Drosophila melanogaster: one gene and its partners. The protein of the gene in region 1 interacts with the protein of each later gene in a pairwise test. Each region holds a gene or a part of one and is shown in the gene's direction. Other genes may lie near its edges. The genes, in order: CG43338, mdlc, fok and CG13843.

Region 1 (6,589 bases):
AGCGGAAGGAAGACCGTTCAGGAGGCCATAGAAAGCATTAAATTGCGTTCGTCCATGATGACCGAGTTGAATATCAAATGCCAGAAGGCGGCCATCGAGTTCCTATCCGTTCGCCTGCTGAAGCAACTGCGTCTGTTTTCCAGTCCTTGGCCCGGAAAGATCGACGAGATTCCCTACAATCTGTTCAAGTGGTCGCTGGATCACTTCCTGGCACGACTGGAACATAACCAGTTGTACCTGGACGTGATCCATCGCGAACGGAGTTCCGAGGATCTCGACTGCGTAAAGTTCCGAACTGATCTGAAAGAGATCGAACAAATTCTACACGAAATGCGAGAGGACTTTCAAAAGGATGACGACCTTTGCGAAAATAGCATACAACTAATACGGTATTGGCCCCATTTCCATCAAGAAGAACATTCTATATTGGAAACACTTATATTCTTAGAGATTGCAAGTACAACACGGTTGGTGCTTGGATTAAGGACCTCAAGGACAATTGCCGGATCAAGGAGGGAATGAGCAACAGTAGCCTGGCAGTGGAATCCAGCGTATCCAGTCTGGATATCAATCGAACTGCACTCGTAGACCTCTTCGAGGGCAGTAGTTGTGAGTTGTAAAATATTACAAAAATTTAATGTATCTTTTGTACATTTTCATAGTGACTGATCCGATACAGATGCGTTACCATATCAAGTGGGTAAACAGCTGTATGGATCAGAGACTAATGCTTAACTGTAAGCGCGAGGATCTGCTGAGGAAGGAGTTAATGGAACTGAAAACCAAGCTGGAACAGGACATGACGGTGCAGCGCAGCTCGGAGATGATATACTCCTGGGAAGTGGAAAAGCTTAAGACACGCAATAGGGAGTGGGAGGTCAAGCTGGAGCGGGATCTGGAAAGCGCCGAGGTGCAGTGCACGATCGCCAGGCTCGCACTGCAGAAGGTCAAGGACGATCACAAGCTCTGCTTGGAACAGGAGGAAATGTACCTTCGAAAAATAGCCGAGATCAAAAAGTTGATGGAAACGCAAACTAAAGCTCGTCAACAAAAACAGGTGGGCTATATAGATATTTCCCTTTACAAGCCTTTACAAATTAGTTAATCTTAAAGATGATATGTAATTGAAAATTAATATAAATTGTTTAATTTCGCTAGGCAAAATAAGCAACGGAAGTGAAATCACCATGTATAAGCGCCAGGAATCCAAAATGAAGCAGGCGAAATGCTGGAGCTCATCAAAATTCGACAACTATTATTTATGTTGGCAACCCAAACAAAATAATCAAAATCCCGAAATGCATGAACTTAACCCCAAAGGGTTGTTGCCTTCAAAGTCACTGTCAAAGGATCAGGCCATTAAGGGGGTTATTCCATCGGACGGGGAGTGGGCGCCAAGTTAGGGCAAACATTTACCATATTCATTATTTTTGGCGGAGACAAATGAAATTACAGGCAAACGGCTGCGGGGTAACTGCCCCTCCTACCACTCTACGGCTATTGCAGTTTAGAAAATCGAATTATGTGCACTTTAGTCACCGTAGTTACCCACCAGGAACCACACCCTCACCATCTAGTGTAGTATCGCCTCATGCATAGTTATTTTATGCGCCGTGGCAACCTGAAAGTTGCCGCATAACTTTGCCTCTTCTTGTTGCCTGGTCGGGTCGGGTGTATTATTTACGCTTAGAAAACATAGAGTAGAATTTTTCCAACGCCAGTCGGAGGCGGATCGAGTTCATCCGGATAAAATCCATTGGAATGCCACTTAATCCGCGACCCACGACCAATGGCAACACACCCGAGGACTGGCAGGTGTTCGAGGTCTTGTTCGGTGCTGATCAGGACCCGAAAACGATTCCCGCACGGATGACCACAATGTCACCTTTGCCACAACCAGCCATTCCATTTTGCCAGGTGAGTAGTTTTTGTCGCTTAACTATTTTGCCAAAATCGTGCGCCAAATTGCCATAAAAGCGTGTAGACATCATATCAAGATAGATTTATGTGAATTCGCAATTGAATAACGACTTTTGTTCGCTATTTTTTATGTTTCAAATGTATGCGGTTGTTAGGGGAACTAATGATGTTTGTGGGGGGATTTGCATAAAACTCGATTGGTCTGGGGGATACAGTGGTTCGTATTGCCATGTGGGTGGGGCTGCATAATCAAAATATACATATGAATGATTGTAAAGCTATTCATAAACACACAATAGGATAAAATGGAGCCATTGCATCTAATTTACTGAATTGAGGACTTGTGAAAGCCTAAGGAGCAAGCCCAAAATCAAGTTCAATGAAATATCTTTTAAATGTTTGAAACATTTCCCATTTCGCCCATTTCAATTTCATTAAAGAGGCAACCTGAATTGGCTTCATAATTAACCCGGCCAAGCTTATCGAATGTTCAACACATTTCAGTTCCCAATTGTCTTGCCGTTGCTCCTTCCTAAATTGCAGACAATTGGCCAAAAGTTGCACACCTCATTTTCCGTTTCCGGCCAAGTTGAAAATTTCCATCGTATATCCATCCACCTAGCCCCGGAGCACCCAAAACCCCAAACCCTGTGGCGTCCGCACTTGCGTGCGTGAGTCCGTTGTGGATATTGCATTTGATACTTCGCCACTTGGCGCCATGTGAATGACCCAAATAATCCAAACAAACTGCAAAGTTTCCCCCATGTGTAAGTGTAATCGTGGCTACACCTTTCGAGCTCCACACGGCTGCCCCCCTATCCAAAGCCCCTTGCTCCTGCCATTGAGCTCGTTTTCACTTGGAGCATAAATTTGAGCACTGTGTGATGTTATGTTGGGGTAAATTCCTCGGTGCCATGCATCGGACTCCCCTCAGTTGTTAGGTGGAGGTTGTTAGGCTTCCGAAAGTGGTTATTCCCGAACCAAAGTTCAGTTCTTCGACGGCTTTTACTGGGAACAGTTGACTTGGTTCTTGGAGTGCTTTAAATATTCGTGGCTCTAAATATGCCCAGTGAAAATCATCTGCATCACCATCACTTGGGACACACTGGTGGATTATCTCCGCATCATCATCACTTGGTGGGCATTGGGACAATGTTAATGCCATCACAGTTAAAAATTACATATTATAATTAAAAGTACAATTAAAATTTACAAAAAATAATGAAAGTCTGAATGGTTCAAAACCATTTTATCTTAAATTGTATAAATATAACTTTAATAACAGGAAAATGTGAAAATGGTACATTTATTTAATAGAGCCAATATATTCAAGAATGTAGAAAGTATACATTTTTTGAAAATGTTTTCTAAACTAGGAAATTAGATAAATTTATATGTAATTAATTAATAACTCCGCAAATCAAAACCTTTTGTGTGTTCTCCAAATTTAAATGCGATTATCCAGCTGGACACATCCTGCAGCAATACGGGAATCACTGTGACAGAACATCATCATGGTCTCGACTTGACCACCACACTGCGCAGTGAACTGGCTGCGTTGTCCTACAAAAAGGAGCGACTTACGGGGGAGGTAAATAAAAGAATCAATTTATTATAGAATCAAGTAATGCAAAGGATATACATATACTTACACTTATCCTAGCTTGCTGAAGCGCGTGCAGCATTGTGCAGCAAAGATGCGGATATCGAGAATCTGCGAGCCCAGGCTGCTCGGCAGACTGCCCTCATCGGATCCCTCCAGAGTCGTCTGCAAAACTCGGAGAGCAGGGAGCAGGCTGTCCAGGCCCGATGTGATTCCACCATTCAGACGGTGCAGCGGGAGAAGCGTAGCTCCGACGAGCGCAACAAAGAGCTAATCTGCAAGATACAGCATCTGGAAACGCATATGGCCAGTGAGGAATCGCAAAAGGAGCAGATCAAGGCTCAGCTGCACGATCTCCTGCGACGCCTTAGCATCACTTTGGGAATGGATGTGTGCGATGGCAATCAGAATTCCCATGCCACACCCGAGTGCATCATCTCGCGGGCCGAGGAGGTGATGGTGGAGCTGCAAAGGACGAAAGCCAAGGTCAGTTCCACCTGCGACACGCTCAGCTCCTGCGAAAATGAACTGCTCAACTTGAAGTCGCTGGCCAACATTGAGAAGCAGCGGCTCACGGCCCAACTTGATGGAGCTGGCAATCACAACCACGAGTTGGAAGGACGCTGTCGCCAATACGAAAGGGATCTTCAGATCCAAAGAGATCGCTTGACTGAATCGGAAATCAACGGCGAGAAGCTCAAGGAAGAGCTGCGCGGCTTTGAGTCGCGATGCCATCGTTTGCAAAACAACCTGGACCGGACTCAGGGCGATCGTCTGCAGTTCTTGCGGGGATTGAGCAATCTCTTGAATGTTCCCGAACCGTGCGAAACGCTCATCAAGGACAAGCTGAGAGAGATTCTGGCGGAGAACCAGGCCATGCATGCGGTAATCGAACTTATTAATTCATAATTCATTTAAACAATAAACCAATTTGTATACCCTCTAGCAAATGCACTCTCTGCGAGATCAGCTGAACTCGGAGCATGAGAAGCTTAAGGAAACCCAACAGACCACCGAATGTCGCCTCCGTTCTGGCGAGGCTCAGAAATGTGAGCTAACTGAGCGCTTGGAGAAGTGCCATGCCGAGATCCATACTCTTCGAAAGGATCACATGGGTCTATCGGAGTTCCTGCAGCGACTGGCCCTCGCGATGAACTGGGGTGAGTGCTCTGCCCCTCCGGCTCTTGGAACTGATACCAATCTAATGGCGGAGAACTTGCTTGAGAGAGCCGAGAGACTCGCCGCTCACTGCGACCACGAGGCACCTCATCATCATCATCATCATCACAGTCCGGATAAGGGTTGCTGTGATCACGGACATGGTCATGGGAAACTTCGCCGCGAGAGATCCTGTCATGACATTCCCCTCAAGGAAAGCAGCAGTGTCTACAACCTGCAGCGACGTGTTCGAGTTCTCAGGGAGCAAGTGCAGCGACGGGATCTCCACCTGGAGCTACTGCGTCGCAAGCTGGCCATCATAGAGGACGGTGCGCGAGGAAAGTGCATGTTGCAGGGTGAACGGGATGAGGCGGTTTGCCGGGCCAAGAAGGCGGCCAAGCAGGTGGACAAGTTGAGTGCCCAGCTGGCCGATGCCCGATCTCAGATAGCAGAGGTCAAGGCCCAGCTAGCCGAGGCTGTGGAGTATAAGATCACCTCGTTGGAGAGGGCCAGAAAGATCGATGAGCTGACCACACAGATATGCGATCTGGAGGATGAGAAGACGCGCCTGCTCTCCCAACTTAATGCCCTGAAGGAGCGCCTCAAGTCCTCCTGTGAATCCAATCAGAATCGCAGATGCCGCGATGAGGCGCTAATAAATGTAAATAAAAGTATAGTTTATGTAAAAATTCACATACTAAATCTTTCTTGAAATTTTTAGTCTATGCGCGATGATGTCAGTCGCTTGAGCTCCCAACTCTCGGATGCCAATCAGCGGCTTTCGCATTTGCAATCCTTCCGCACATCGGTGGCCAGGACACTGCATCTTCGCGACCTGCCGGAAACGGATCTTCTGCATCGCCTGCAGGCCCTGTGCTCGGCACATCAGGAGTTCACAATGCTTTCGAAACGCTATGAGACAGCTTCGCCAGTTGGAGATCATCCGTGTCCTCGGTTCGATGATCCCATACCGCCATCCAGCCACTGTCGCCCGCCAAGGGAGCTCAGTCCTCCGCCAACTTCCTTCCACCATAAGGCGACCATCCATTCAGGCAGCAGCCATCACTCACCACCGTCTGAGCATCATCATGGTTCCAGCAGCCATGTGCACAATCACCACGGACATGGACACGGACACGGTCACTCATCGCATTCCAGGCGGCAGCGAAGTAAAAGCCGGGACAAACGACTCCACGATGAGTGCTTCGACACGGATGTGCATCGACTGCACCATGGCTGCAAGGAGGAGCTACTGGCCACCGGATCGGAGGATGACTATGACTTCAAGAGCAAATACTGCTAGAGTACTAAACTTTTTCTTTGCATTTGTATTTTTTCAAAATAACTCAGAATAATATATGGTTTCTACATTTCGGAAAATCTAAGTTTTTTGTGGCAGATTGATTATTCTGGTTGATCATCACGTATTTCGGGAGGATAAGGATAAGAAGGAAAGGACTGGTCTTCATCGCAGTCCCTACTGGTGGCACAAGTCCAACAGCATTCCGGAAATTTTAGCAACAAGTCCATGGCCTTATCGTCCTGGCAGCCACTGCTCGGCAAAGTGCGAGGACAGCTGGAAAATAGCTTGGATATCATATGCATTAGGGTATATCATTTCAAATTGGATCGATCTTACTAGTAGACATGAGTAAGTCCTTCGGAGTTCATGCAAACCTGCACGCCGCAAGTGTTTGGATCACTGACTTCCTCGCCGGGTTGTAGGGCAAAAACATCGTATTGCTTCTTTTTACCCACTCGAACATGGATGGGGTAACACTGGCCGGGGTACTCTACCAAAGCGTTTTAATGAGACTTTATTATTCTTACATATAAAGTTTTCTCAACGCATTACTCTCATTGTGCAGTATCTTCACAAAAACCATGGACTTCACAGATGCCACTAAA
Region 2 (4,113 bases), on another chromosome or scaffold:
TCAGTCCGCTGGCAGTCGTCCAGCAGCTGGCCGCAAATCTCACGCCTTTTCAAATCCCTTTTTTTGGTACCCGATTTTCCGACCCGTTGGTATATAAAACACAAAAGCGCGCGAAGTTACACAAACAAAGGGGGGTCCAAAAAACAGGACTATCTCGCGCACACACGCAGTCACGCAAATACAGAGCTGGCGACTCCGATTGGTCCTAGTAAATATGGCGCCAAACGAGTCGAGAATGTCGCCTTTTGGTACCTCCGTTCGGTTCGGTTCCCTCTGTCACTAGCACATCTATTCCATCAGACGGCGTTTTTTCTACTGATGAATGAATCGTACGCAGGATGCCAGGATGCGGAAAGTTTCCAGCATGCCGTGGACCAACAACCGGAAAGCTTTTACTACGTTGCGAGCTTTTACCCTTACCACAAGTCCGGGAAAAAGTCCTTAGGAATTCGACGAATGCTGAATACCCATTACTTAAGTTTTTGTTTGTGAAAGGAAATTGCTGAACTTAAAACCGAAATAACAAAGTACACGCCATTTGTGTATAATCTTCTGTACATTGGCACCTAGAATGAATAAAAATATTTGTTTTTCAAAGTCCAAGTTCAAAGTTTAAAGTCAAGAATGTAAGAATACATTTTAGAAGCTCAGTCGAAATTGGTTTATTTACTGCCAAATTTACGTTGAATTATGGTTTCGGTGGAAACCAACGATTATGTACAAGCGGAATATCATCAAGCGGAAGCTGTGAGCAGGGCGGCATGGTAGGCGATGTGTTCGGCGACGAACGTGGCGATGTAGAAGTAGCTGTGATCGTATCCCTCGCGCTGCTTGAAGATGGTCTGGATGTGATCATTGCCATCTGCGGCAGCCAGCAGGTTCTCCGGCAGCAGCTGCTTGCCGGCCAGGAAGTTGTCTGCTGCACCTTGGTCGATGAAGAGCTCCTGCGGAGTGCTCTCGTACTGCGACACCAGATGCGTGGCATCCCACAGGGCCCAGTCATCCGGATTGGAGCCCAGATAGCCGGCAAAGGCCTTCTTGCCCCACGGGCACTCGGTGGGATTGGCAATCGGCGCAAAAGCGGACACCGACTGGTACAGCCCGGGATTCTTAAGCGCGCAGATCAGGGCTCCGTGGCCGCCCATACTGTGGCCGAATATACCGCGTTTACCGGGAACCACGGGCAGATTGGCATTGACCACATCCACCAGCTCCTGGGTCACATAGCTGTACATCTTGTAGTGCTTCGACCACGGCTCCTCCTTTGCATCCACATAGAATCCAGCCCCGCTTCCAAAGTCGTATGCATCATCTTGGCCGGCAATTTCCACGCCCCTGGGCGAAGTGTCCGGATTGACGACGATCAGGTTGTGGCGGGCGGCGTGCTGCTGGAATCCGCTCTTCTGGATGAAGTTCTCATGCGTGCAGGTCAGTCCGCTGAGGAAGAACAGCACCGGACACGGTTTACCCTCCAAAGCGGCCGGCGGCAGGAAGACGCCAAAGGTCATGTCGCACTTCAAGGTGTCCGAGCGATGGCGATACACGCGTTGCTCGCCCTCGAAGCACTTATTTGCGGACAGCTGTTCGAGCGTCATGTTCTGGGGGTGAAACGGAGTAAATAATTTGTAAGCTAAAACTGAAATCCATTAATTTTTAAAAACGCACTTGTTTTTTGACGATCTAAAAATAACAAGCGATAAGAAAACAGTGTGACCGCGTGTAGAGCGCCAAAAGTGGGAAGCTTTCAGAACATCTTGGTATCGATGATTAAAAGGGTAGATCCCATAGGAGTTAATATTTTCTAGAATTCTTTAAATTAATATAAATCTATTAATTATTACATATTGATGATGTATTAAATATGTAAAAATTGCAATTATTACAAACGAATATATTCCTCATAAGTAAACATTGAATTTTAATGTGCCCGTTTCATACAAAAATACTAACTCCATAACGATTGTTACGCAAGTACCATCACTAGCCGGGAAGAAGAAGCGCCAGTTGGCGAAATTGCTATTGTTAATTGTTGTTAACGTGAATTACTAGATAAGTACATAAATTTAAAAGCCGGAGAATGTCGGAAGAAGCGGCTAGCACCTCGTCCTTTGGCTTCAAGAAGCGGAACCTCAAGAAGGGAGCTGGAATTCGTCGCAAAAAGGAAACCAGCAGTGATGAATCTGGTAGGAACTTAATTTTACCGCCAACAAAGTAAATGGGCAAATATTATTGATATTCCAGCAAAAAGCAGCGATGAAGAGACCAAAGGCAAAGCCAGTGCTCTGGTGCGAGCCGAGAACCGCCGAAAGCGCACGAATCCCAACTTCCAGAGCACCAAGACAATGAGCAAAGCAAAGAGACAGGCGGGAGGAGTTGGTGATGATGGCTCATCCTCAGCCTCCGACGATGATAAACTGGGCATTGCGTACAAATCCAAACGCGAGGCGCTGCCCAGTGGACCCCAAGATCAGGGAGCTACATCGATTAACGAAATGGACACAGAATTGGATCGCGATGCGCAGGCAATTCATGCGCGAGCTCTGAAAATCAACGAAGAGCTGGAGGGCAAGGCGGACGATAAGATCTATCGCGGAATTAACAACTATGCGCAGTACTACAAGAAGCAGGATACAGCGGCAGGGAATGCCAGCTCCGGAATGGTACGAAGTGGCCCAATTAGGGCTCCTGCCCATCTTAGGGCCACTGTCAGGTGGGATTATCAGCCGGATATATGCAAGGATTACAAGGAAACAGGATATTGCGGCTTTGGCGACAGCTGTAAGTTTCTGCACGATCGCAGTGATTACAAAGCGGGCTGGCAATTGGAAATGGATCACGAAAATCAGCGAACGGGTGATGTAGACTCCGATGGCGATGATACCAAGTATGAGATTCACTCCGATGAAGAAACACTGCCTTTCAAGTGCCACATCTGCCGACAGAGTTTTGTCAATCCCGTGGTAACAAAGTATGAAGATGATAACGATTTCTAAACTGGATTTACTGAATAAATAACATATTTATCTTTCTTCCAGGTGCAAGCACTATTTCTGTGAAAAGTGCGCCTTGGCCCAGTACAAAAAGTCACAGCGCTGCATCATCTGTTCCCAGCAAACAAATGGTATTTTCAATCCCGCCAAAGAGCTGATAGCTCGCCTCAAGACAAACCCAATGGAAAACTCAGATAGTGATGAGGAGGAGGAATTTGGGAAAAAGGAGGATAAAGCGGAAGCAGGGGAGGAAGCTCAGGAGATTTCTTCGGATGATAGTGATTAAAATATTTTTTTAAATCATTTATACAGGTTGTGAAAGTAAATAGGGACATTGATTAGATGCTTCACATAAAATCCATTTTACAGCACATTTGCCGCATAAGTGTAGAAAGTAAAGTAAGGATTGTACCACCGATAGGTGGCGTGTAAGAAATTGTAAAACCCTTTGCCCCAAAGAGAATTGCTGATAAATCACTATTCTTACTTGTAACTAGAAAAATATATTTTGATAAGTTTTCAACCAAGAAATACTAGTTCTGTGGTATTTATTAAAATTTTTACTTATTTTTGGGCGATCTATTACGATTGGTTAACATACAAATTATGCACAGCAGTTCATCTGTAAGTTGTTTTAACACGTATATATGTATGTATTCATTATTATTTATAATTCATACTAAAATTTGATACATAGGGACGGGACTGGAAAGTTAATCGTGAAAAGCATTTTATAAAATTAATCACAACGAGGATTTTATATTAATGTTTAGTCCGCAGGACCTAAAAGCCTTACTCACCTCGGTCATAATGTGGCCAAAACTGAGCACAATGCTCCGTCGCTTGGGAAGATTTGAACAGGCGACTATGGAATATACGAATGAGCTTCTACCACTCACACTGGGCAGACGAAGGAAATTTCTTCCCATTCCCAAGGGAGCTGCAATAACTTTGTGATTTCGATCGAGTATTGCTTGACGTTTGAAACGATCAAAGGCCAACTTTGACCAAATTTAAACTTGGCAAGCAACTGAAACTACTGCCTTCTTGAAGCGGCAAAATTTTGGCCCAATCTTATAGCCATAATTTAATTGTCAGCACTTTCATTTCCCGTTTCGCTCGC
Region 3 (5,833 bases), 1.4 Mb from region 1:
TGACAAAGGCACCTACTGATGGTCGTTATCAGCAACCGCTGTGCGGGAATCGAAAAGTTGTTGTGCAAACAAAATGCATCCACATGCAAGTACACGGAAGAAATAGGCTCAGAAATAAAACTCACTAATTGGTGCATCGCAGTGCTTTCAAAATGTTGGTTACATATTCGTTTAGTAAGATATTTGTTTACCTAATTACAAATGCATTGGCCATCCGTTGCATTTTTATCTGATAGTTTTTTTTTTTTTGTAGTGTAGTGTATGCATACGTATGTATATATGTATGTATTCAAATAAAGCTTCGTATTAGCTAGTTAGCACACATTCTTGGCAGTGTGCGTAAGTGACACTTGTTTGATTAAGCAGGTCAGCACCGTGGGCCAAACAAGAGCGGGCACCGAAAAGAGGATGGTTGATTACACAAACTGCGCAGCAGCAGCGGCGTAGGCGTGCACAGTGGTCGCAAGTGCAGAAATATGCCTTGAAAAACAGCTACCATAGGTGACCTTAGGGGCCCGTCAGTGTCGTCTGGTCAGAATCTGGGTCCGTGGTCCGTTAACCGCAAATTAATACAATTAATGGCGACACTCTCTGTTAGTCATTCACGTACCAAAGCGTACCACATTAAAAAAAATCTTTTTTCCTAAATATAGCCCTCTACGTCCTCCCACCTTTAGAAATCAGTCACGATCTCCTCAAAAGTAACTGAAATGAGCGTGCACCAAAACATAAACCGCAGGAAGGCGCTAATATAGGCGGTATGCTTTTTGAGCCAAAACAGCAAAACCTTGATCGGAACCGGCTAAAATGACGTAGACTGCCAATTAACACTAGATTTAAACAAATTTTTCAAATGTTCAAAAACCTCTAGGCAAAGTAGTGAAAAAGTGCAGCTGGTGGTTTACACGCCTAGAATGCCACACGCTGGAAATACAGTCCATTTTGACCATGGAAAGTTTATAAAAAAAAAGAACACTCCAATTTGGGCTCTCAAAAGTGTTCAATCCGCTTGGCAACCAAATTTGGTTTCAGAAATAAGGCTAAATCACGGCATGGTCGGCCTGCAGTCTAGACCGTGATTAGCGCAGCTTATAAAAACACAAATGTCCATCCCATCCTCCAGATGATCAGCCGTCGAACATCCGTCCGATCACTCTCATGATTACTTTTTCGTCATCTCCGCGGCATTAGCGATTCGCCGCTAATAAGAAAAACTTCCAAGAGTATTCCTCATGCCCCGGCTAATTAATATTTATTAAAAATTTTCAAACTAACACAGGGTGAATCACTTGGAAAATGCTTGCTTCCACGGCAGAGGTGATTTCGAGAGTAGCGAACCAATGTGCCCCAAGCGAGAGGTGTGTGGCACTCGAAAGGGGAGGGGTCGGGTGGAAGGTGAAACTCTGACAAAAGCACGAGACGCGAAAACACAACAAAACACAATGCCACACATACGTGTTTACAACCAGGCACACAAATATTTTAGTACAAGTGCGGGCAGCATAGTATATACACCTATTCCAAGTACTACAGACATTAAAGAATATTTAAAACAAATTAAAGTCCATTCATTCATATACACGTGCCCTAAACGTTTTCCCGCGACTGTCCACACACATTCACACGTAGGCACATGAGAAGTAAATATAGGGGAGACCCGAAGTGGGCAGCAAAACAAGAGCCGAAGTATCGCCAGCGCACGAGAGCTACAAAAATGCAGTAATTCTAGTGTTCGGCTTTCAGTTTCACGAGAGACCTCCAACAGAATACATCGAATTTCGGCGAGAGATTTGCAGCTCAAGAAGAAGAAAGAAGGAAAACCTCTGCGAGTCACCTCCACGCAAAAGTGCACCAAAAAGCGTTGTTAAAAAAACAAAACAAAGTGATTTTAAAAGCCAGGTTCATTGGACGCCCGAGCCAATCGAGAGACAAAGTGAAACGACCTCGCACAACGCGCGCAAAAAGAGAGAAAGAAAGAAAAACACACACCCACATTACAAACACAATTCACATCCCGTTGATTGGCACTGCAGTTCGCAAAAATAGTAACGAAACACCGCACAGCACAGACATGGATGTTTGGGGATTCTGCGTCAGCGACACCACAATGGCATATGGCGGGTCCATGCGCAGCGGCTACTACCGCGACTACGAGGAGTTCCCCTATGGTACCCTGGAGTCCACCACTTCCTCACACGCGGTCAAGGACTGCTACAGTCGAGTGCAAGGTAATTTTTGGCGAAAAAACAGATAGCGCTCAGAATGCACTGGCAAAAAAGGGGCGAGATTGAAAGCAGACGCGTTTCTCACTTGTTTTTGTGTATTGCGTGTGTTGTTTTGTTGTTTTTGCAACCATTTATAAATAGCCAGCCTGATTTCTTAGCCCCATGTGCATAAGTGTGTGTGTGCGTGTGTGTGTGTGTAGAACACGCCTTAATTTTTGCGCACAAGCACAGGGTGTCCAAAGTTTCGCGGCGCAAGTCACCTTATCAAGTAGGTTCCACACCCCCTCGATTTTGTTTTTATTTACGGCTTGAATCCACGTGCTAAAGATATTCGCGCTTAATTGCACACACAAAGCGGCTAAAAGCCCACAAGGTTCCTTACGAATTTCCGGCATTCCAAAGTTAAAGCGCAATTCAGATGGGCATACAAAAAGAGTATATCGTTACTTTGTCACTCGTGGAAAATCATAAAAGGCAAAGATATACTTTTTGTGGCAATTTCAGAGGTGGTTAAACCCGCTCTTATCGAGGTCACTACTCAAGTCCATTAAGACACACTCTGCACTCGAATACTTTACGATTATTAATTACACAGACAACTAAGCAAGCACTAAGACTTGGCTGTACCTCCAGAATCGGCTCTCAAAAGTTAAGCAGGTGGTCGCACAATGGATTCTTTTATAGGGAAGAACAAACAAAGCAGGGTTTCATTGTGTTTGAGTGCCAAAACTGAAGCGCAATAACGAAACTGAGGTGTGTAAATGTTAAACCTTCGTGCTGTTTTCGTCCATATAGTATACATATACGCGTAGTGCATTATCGGGTTGCAGAGAAATAAAAAAAAAACAAGTGAAAAATTATGCAAGGCAAATATCTAGCTTACTTTAAACTTTAGATTCACATGTCTGTACATACACAACTCAATTCGTATTTGAATGGTAGCATGCATATGTGTGTAAATATCCAGTTTATAAAGCACTTTTTTCCCCCAGTGTGGAACACATTTAGAGATTATGCAAGGTCGCTTATCGGCGGCTATAAATAGACTTTCCTCATGGATCGGCTGGGCTTTAATCAATAATAACCGTTTAGCTTTTAACACGGTCAATTGAGCAATCAAAGCAATGGTTTAATTAACGGAGGCAGGTCACAAAAGCACACAAGCTGTAAGTACAGTTGTGCTCAATGTAGTAGTTGTGTTACAGTCGTCGAAAGACAACAATGTTTTCATTAAAACCAAAGATTAGATAGATTCAACTTTTTAAAATAGGTTTCTAAAATCCAGTGCATGATAATATTAAATATATAGCTGCCTCCGTCACAGGGTCACACGTCGAGTAGCGGGAAAAATTGTGCGAGCGTGGGGAGGGGCGCCATCGGTGGCGACGTGACGTCGTGAACGTAGACGCAGCGACGTCACGTAGTCAAATCAGCTGTTCGACGGCCCAGAAGGGCACGTAGGCTAAAAGGCAGAGTGGAAGCGAATGCGGGAAACAACAGACGAGGGTGAACATTCAGTGCCGACCTTCACTAACCGGTGACCTATCACATTGCTCCCATTGCAGAAAAGTGCAAGCAGATAAAGTCCGAGAAGCAGATGCGCAAGGACTGCCCATTCTGCAAGGAGCACAAGAAGCGGCCGCTCATCAACTACATGCGCAAGCGGGAGCAAAGGAAGCACCATGACAGCATCTGCGAGGACGAGGAGGACATGCACGAGCACGAGCATGAGCTGGAGCACACCCACAATCACAGCCAGTCGACCGTCCTTGCCGCCCCGCAAAGCTGCAAGGTGTGAGTGGGAGCGAGACGAATCTACTGCGGACGGTGCCCGCAGCATTCGCGAAATGCCATATATGTATACAGATGTGTAACCTAACCCAGAAGAAAGGAAACCTGAAAGAGTAAGAACAAAAACAAAAACAAAGAAAACCCGAGGAGAAAAGAGAAAAAGCTGTCGAAGACGAAGATTGCGCGAGAGAGCGAGACAGCAGCCTGCAGCTACAATAATCTAAGGCAACTGTACCCCTATTTTTTTTAAAATGGTTGCCCAGCATTTCCGCGTTGCGAATACACTACCATTTACAAAAGCCAGAACCACTTGATACCAATTTACAACTACCTTTTTCATTATCTAGCCCTTCGTTTTTACACCAACTTCGCAGTTATGTACAACTACAAACGGCACTTTGTTTACCGACAAACAATAGCGCACGACGAAAAAATCAAGTAACGAAAACCTGCCCCGCTTGACCAACGCATTTTTTGACCTTAGGCAAAAAAAAAAAAAAAAAATTATATATGTAACACAAGGGAAGCAAAAACTGAATTTTCTATTTTGCATACGAGACTGAGTAAATTGCAGTAGAAAATTTTTAAGCGAAATTTTTGTTATTTTCGTTGCTTTAGTTTGGACCCAATTGGATCAGTTACAGGTATTACCATATAAGAAAGAAATAATGAAAACTATAACGATCAATCAAGGTTTTGCAACTGTTATTTTCTCGATATATGCGTAGTACATACTTTGGACCCCGATTTTTATTGTATCCTTGTCTATATTAGACATTCCCCTATATTTATTGTAATACCAACTGAGCGTTGCACAGTCCGAGCAAGTGTCAAAATGAAATCAAATCGAAATATGTATGTAAAAGTTGAAATTGTTCAAAAGTTTATGCCTGGTTACATTTTGTTAACTCAACTTGTCGTTACAGAACAGAAATTGTTATTAATTTTTGGTGTTCAGACTCAGCTGTGCAAAAAGACGGACGGAAATATTATAAAAACGATTTAACAATTGCATTAGTCATTTAAGTAATTGATCAAAATGTAATGATTTGTGTAAAATTTGCTTGCAGGTTCCAAGAAAATTTTCAATTTATACAATGTTATATATCATATATATTATATATTAATGGTTAGTTTAAATTATATGTAAACCGAATAAAACGACAAATGATTGAAAAATTTAAGTTAAAATGCGTACTTGTATCTTGAGGGTTACTTGAGGAAATTACGATTAAAAGAAAGGAGATATCATTCATAGTTGCTACGATTTCTAAAAGTTAGACACCTGTTCCAATTACATACGTTGAGGTGGGTCAGTTTGGACTTAAATTTTCCAAATAAAAGTCTTAATTTCTTATGCAAATCTTTACGGAAATCTTTCCGTCTCGCACCAGTTTACTAATTGAAGTTAATCTGTCTTTTGTCTGTCTGAACTCAAAATGTTCCGCCGCTTGAAAACGTTAAATATGATAAGTAAGTACTTGATGGCTAAGGTCAGGTTTTAGGCACTAAACTGGGAACTAAGCGAAAGCACCTCGAGCCCCAATAAACCGACCTGGAACTTGACCATGCACTATCCCACCTTGCAAGCGAATGTCCAGGGATGCCAGCTCCCAAGTGATCCAAATGAAACCCCAGTCAACTAAGCCGAATTGAATTAGAGCAACGAACGTTTGGCACGGGTAGATGAGATCATCCGTGCCTTAATCATGAAAGGCGAATCAAAAAAATTCAACTGATCAAACTGAGAACTGAGCGCATCCCCCCACACGAAAACCATTCATTCCATTTGCATATTTTTTCATGAGTGTGCAAAA
Region 4 (3,635 bases), on another chromosome or scaffold:
GGCATAATCTCGGCAACCAGAGGATTATCTCGAATTCGTGCAGTTGATTTTATATTTACCATGCTACTTATCCAGAATGAGGGTATTCGAGATCGGTTTCACCTGATTTAAAGCTACACAGTCAGATCGATTCGAATTTGAATTATCGTTCATATTTGCTCCGCCAAAGATTCTGCTGGACGGCTGTTTAGGAACGAGAATGAAAACTGCTTATACACATAGACTTATTATTACAAGAGTTGATAAACAATACTTACATCATTACCTATGCTATCATTATAAATGATAAAAATAAATTATTAATTAATGAACAATATCTCTACACAACCACAAGATGGAGAACATCGGCAGTAACAATAACGAAATGAGAATTGAGAAGAGGACAAGCGCATTAGCATTAAGCTTAAGCAATTACTACCATACCGTGTACAACTTGTTTTTGGTCTTTTGCGATACATTATCACATTTAACTGTGTAGGAACAGTTACTCCAATATTATGTACGGATTAATATATTTATTTAAACAACTATCGGTTGATTACGCGACATGTCCATGTAGCTAGAATATGAAATTAAATATCCATTACGGGGTAAAGAGAGATGGAGGAAAAAATAAAATTAAATGCATCATATATTTTTGAATATATTATGATTATGGTATTGTGTAATTATGTAAATGCAGACTATATAACATTGTTTATAATAATTTTTAACAATTCTACTGAAACGGCAATAAATTCGAAAATACAAACTAACTAAAAGTGAAAGCAACTTGCCTGCTGCAAACCAAGCGCCTAAATGTATGCATATTGTATATTTATTTTAACTGGCTTAAGAGGGCATCACTTAGTTTCTAAAGCAATACCCTTTCGATAACAATTCATTTAAGACAACTTGCCAACTTGTGGCGAGAAGGGAAACAAGAAGACGAACGTGGAGACGGTGATTTTTATGTGAACATTTATTACTAACTGATAAGCTTTGATTAAACTTAGGAAAGCCGTTATACTATGCATATACACATATATATAAATATATATATGAACTATATATAGTATATATGAATGCTCGTGTGAGCAACCAAACAATTACGATATGAATCATTAAATACTTCCGAAAGCATTAAATCCCTGCAGTTTGTCTAATCCTCCGCCTTGAACTTAAACGAGGTATCCGTCTCCATCAGCATATTTTCCAAACGTAATTCCAACTGGCGTCGCTTCAGATCCACCTTTACCACCGATGCCACAATGCGATCGCCAACGCTCAGCTGCGAATTATTCATGTTACTGTTGTGTATGAGGCCATTGCGCTCCACTCCAACGTCCACGAAGGCGCCAAACTGGGTTACGTTGGTCACGGCACCTGTGTGTCGGAATAGTTTCAATAAGTACATATATGAAATGACTATCATAGTCTCCACTTGCCAGTGACCACCTCGCCCATGCTAAGATCATCCAGCCTAGTTAGACCTTGTTTGAACAGTGGCCTCTTGTCCAGATCTGCTCGATAATCCTGAAGTAATTCGCGCTGCAGGGCAACCAACAGGAACTCCAACTGAAAGGAAATTTATTTTAAATTATTTGAACATTGCAATAGGCCTGTTTAGTATAGATTGAGTGGCACTTACTCGCTCCATGGGCAGCTTGTGCTGCTTGGCAATGCGATCGAGATTAGGCTGGGATGAGGCAAACTGCTTGATGCTAGCTATAAAGGCAGCCTTGCCCACATCCGACAGCTTTAAGTCACATTCTCCGACAATACTGAAAGCACAAAAAGTATTTGGTTTTAGAGTTAAGTTTTCAAATTTTCCATTATAATGATTGCCAAGCTAAAGCAGGAATATGCGGAGCGCTGGCATTATCCTCCAATTGTGCCGCCAGCCAAGCTTCGATATGTTGCATGTGGAAAGGTAGCATTCTACGGCCACAACGATAAGCCGAAATACAAGCCCTGCTGGCAGCATCCGCTCAATGTGCAGGATCAAACCCGCTTTGGAGTTTGCTGGGAGTATCCGCCGGAGCGGTACAAGCGTCGTCCGCTTCCGCCACCGTGCCGGGGATCGACCATTCCCATCCATTTGCTGAAGCCAACCTTCAAGCATTGTGAGAATATCTACTCCCGCTACGATTTTAAGCTTGAGCAGTGTGTGCACGAGCAAACTCTAGTAGTTGACCAGAAAATGAAGGCCCTGAAGAATGAGCTGGAGCAGGCCAAACCATTTCAGATTGAGAGGGTTAAGGAGATGCGTTACCATGGAGTGCGTTATCGCATTTTAGCCAGCTCGACCGGATGCACTAAGACCTATCCCGAGTACATAAGCCGGATGACCGAAGAGCGGGCCCTTTGCGAGTTTCAGAGAGCCTACAATATCGTCAATCAGTCAAAGTAAGTCTATTAAAAATACACAGCCACTGCTAATTTAAAACTTTTTAGCACCGATTTGAGCAATTTATACCTGGACATGAGTGAGTCGAAAAAGGAGCTAGATCAACGCGTAGCCAGGTTGGACCGGTCTTTAGGAAGTACATTCTTGAAAGAGCTAGATTCGGTGCTGCAAATAATCGAGGACTTAAACACGTATTTCTTTGGCGTGATCGTGAAGCTAAAGACGTGGGCGGAGCTGATGGACCCTATGAAAGAGCACTCTATAGAGGACTATCTGGGGCTTTTGAGTCAGGAGACGGACTTCCGGACTTTTATGAGTGCCGGCATGGAGAACTGCACCTGCAAGCGTTGCGACAAGAAGGATCCCTTGAAGCCGTACCTTCCGTGCTGGTGTCAAATGGAATCTAGCGAGGATGTTACAAATCTTAAGAATTTTGACGACGATTGTCCAAAGAACATAGCTGGCATCACGCAACACGAAAGTGACATTGTGACACCTAGTGACACCTCCTTGTTAGTGAGGGCAGCGGATGAAAAGGCCAGGCTTGCGATGAATCAGGCGGAATAAAGTCTCATTATTATTGGTTAATGAAGTCAATTGAATATTGGACTTACCTTTCCACAACGTTGTAGCTCTCAGGATGCACCCAAGTGCAATCTAATGGATTCTGTAGTTGTCCTCCAACGCTTCGGGGTTCGATGCGCACAAAACCGGCGCACTGGACAAACGATTTCTCACCTATGCTTCGCACGGAGAGCAGATCCTTCCGTGTCTTGAATGGTCCTTTCTGCGTACGATGCTCAATGATCTTTTCCGCTTTCTTTTCCGACAGACCAGCAATGTGCCTATATGGTGGAGAATATTAAAAATATATAACTTATTTGACCCTTAATCACACATACTTGAGTACACTCAGACTGGCTGTGTTGAGATCAACGCCAACATAACTGACACACTCGGACACAACGTCATTCAGCGATGCCGTCAAAATCTTCTCGGGAACATCGTGCTGGTACATACCAACCCCCAGGTGACGGGGCTCTATTTTAACATATTCACTCAATGGATCATTCAAACGACGCGCTATGGACACTATACAAAATATGTTTGTTTGTGTTGCTTTTAATTTGATCTTCGTCCAAACCTGCGCTCCTTTCGTTTGTATCCATTTTGGGAAACTCCTTGGCGGCCACATTGCTGCAGGAGTAAATAGATGCTCCATTCTCGTTAACGATGCTGTAGCGAA

The links.
Region 2: the proteins of CG43338 (region 1) and mdlc interact in a two-hybrid assay, tested with the Drosophila melanogaster proteins (one large-scale study listed by BioGRID).
Region 3: the proteins of CG43338 (region 1) and fok interact in a two-hybrid assay, tested with the Drosophila melanogaster proteins (one large-scale study listed by BioGRID).
Region 4: the proteins of CG43338 (region 1) and CG13843 interact in a two-hybrid assay, tested with the Drosophila melanogaster proteins (one large-scale study listed by BioGRID).

What each region holds. Positions count from the first base shown.
Region 1 is NT_033779.5:18,666,360-18,672,948, reverse strand, and holds CG43338 (uncharacterized protein), read left to right. Parts: upstream 1-1,702; 5' UTR 1,703-1,761; coding exon 1,762-1,917; intron 1,918-2,905; exon of another isoform or gene 2,906-2,982; coding exon of another isoform or gene 2,983-3,057; intron 3,058-3,385; coding exon 3,386-3,511; intron 3,512-3,583; coding exon 3,584-4,408; intron 4,409-4,469; coding exon 4,470-5,342; intron 5,343-5,400; exon of another isoform or gene 5,401-5,402; coding exon 5,403-5,984; 3' UTR 5,985-6,057; downstream 6,058-6,589. Other genes in the region: CG43339 (uncharacterized protein), read left to right, coding at 1-389, 449-609, 663-1,057, 1,159-1,167.
Region 2 is NT_033777.3:20,055,777-20,059,889, forward strand, and holds mdlc (midlife crisis), read left to right. Parts: upstream 1-1,971; 5' UTR 1,972-2,077; coding exon 2,078-2,183; intron 2,184-2,241; coding exon 2,242-2,968; intron 2,969-3,035; coding exon 3,036-3,276; 3' UTR 3,277-3,515; downstream 3,516-4,113. Other genes in the region: CG4390 (uncharacterized protein), read right to left, coding at 735-1,598, 3,791-3,919.
Region 3 is NT_033779.5:20,080,973-20,086,805, reverse strand, and holds fok (fledgling of Klp38B), read left to right. Parts: upstream 1-1,735; 5' UTR 1,736-2,071; coding exon 2,072-2,228; intron 2,229-3,790; coding exon 3,791-4,023; 3' UTR 4,024-5,200; downstream 5,201-5,833.
Region 4 is NT_033777.3:22,607,719-22,611,353, forward strand, and holds CG13843 (uncharacterized protein), read left to right. Parts: upstream 1-1,766; 5' UTR 1,767-1,819; coding exon 1,820-2,388; intron 2,389-2,436; coding exon 2,437-2,956; 3' UTR 2,957-2,997; downstream 2,998-3,635. Other genes in the region: CG31156 (uncharacterized protein), read right to left, coding at 1,142-1,365, 1,428-1,557, 1,631-1,763, 3,004-3,234, 3,292-3,481, 3,534-3,635.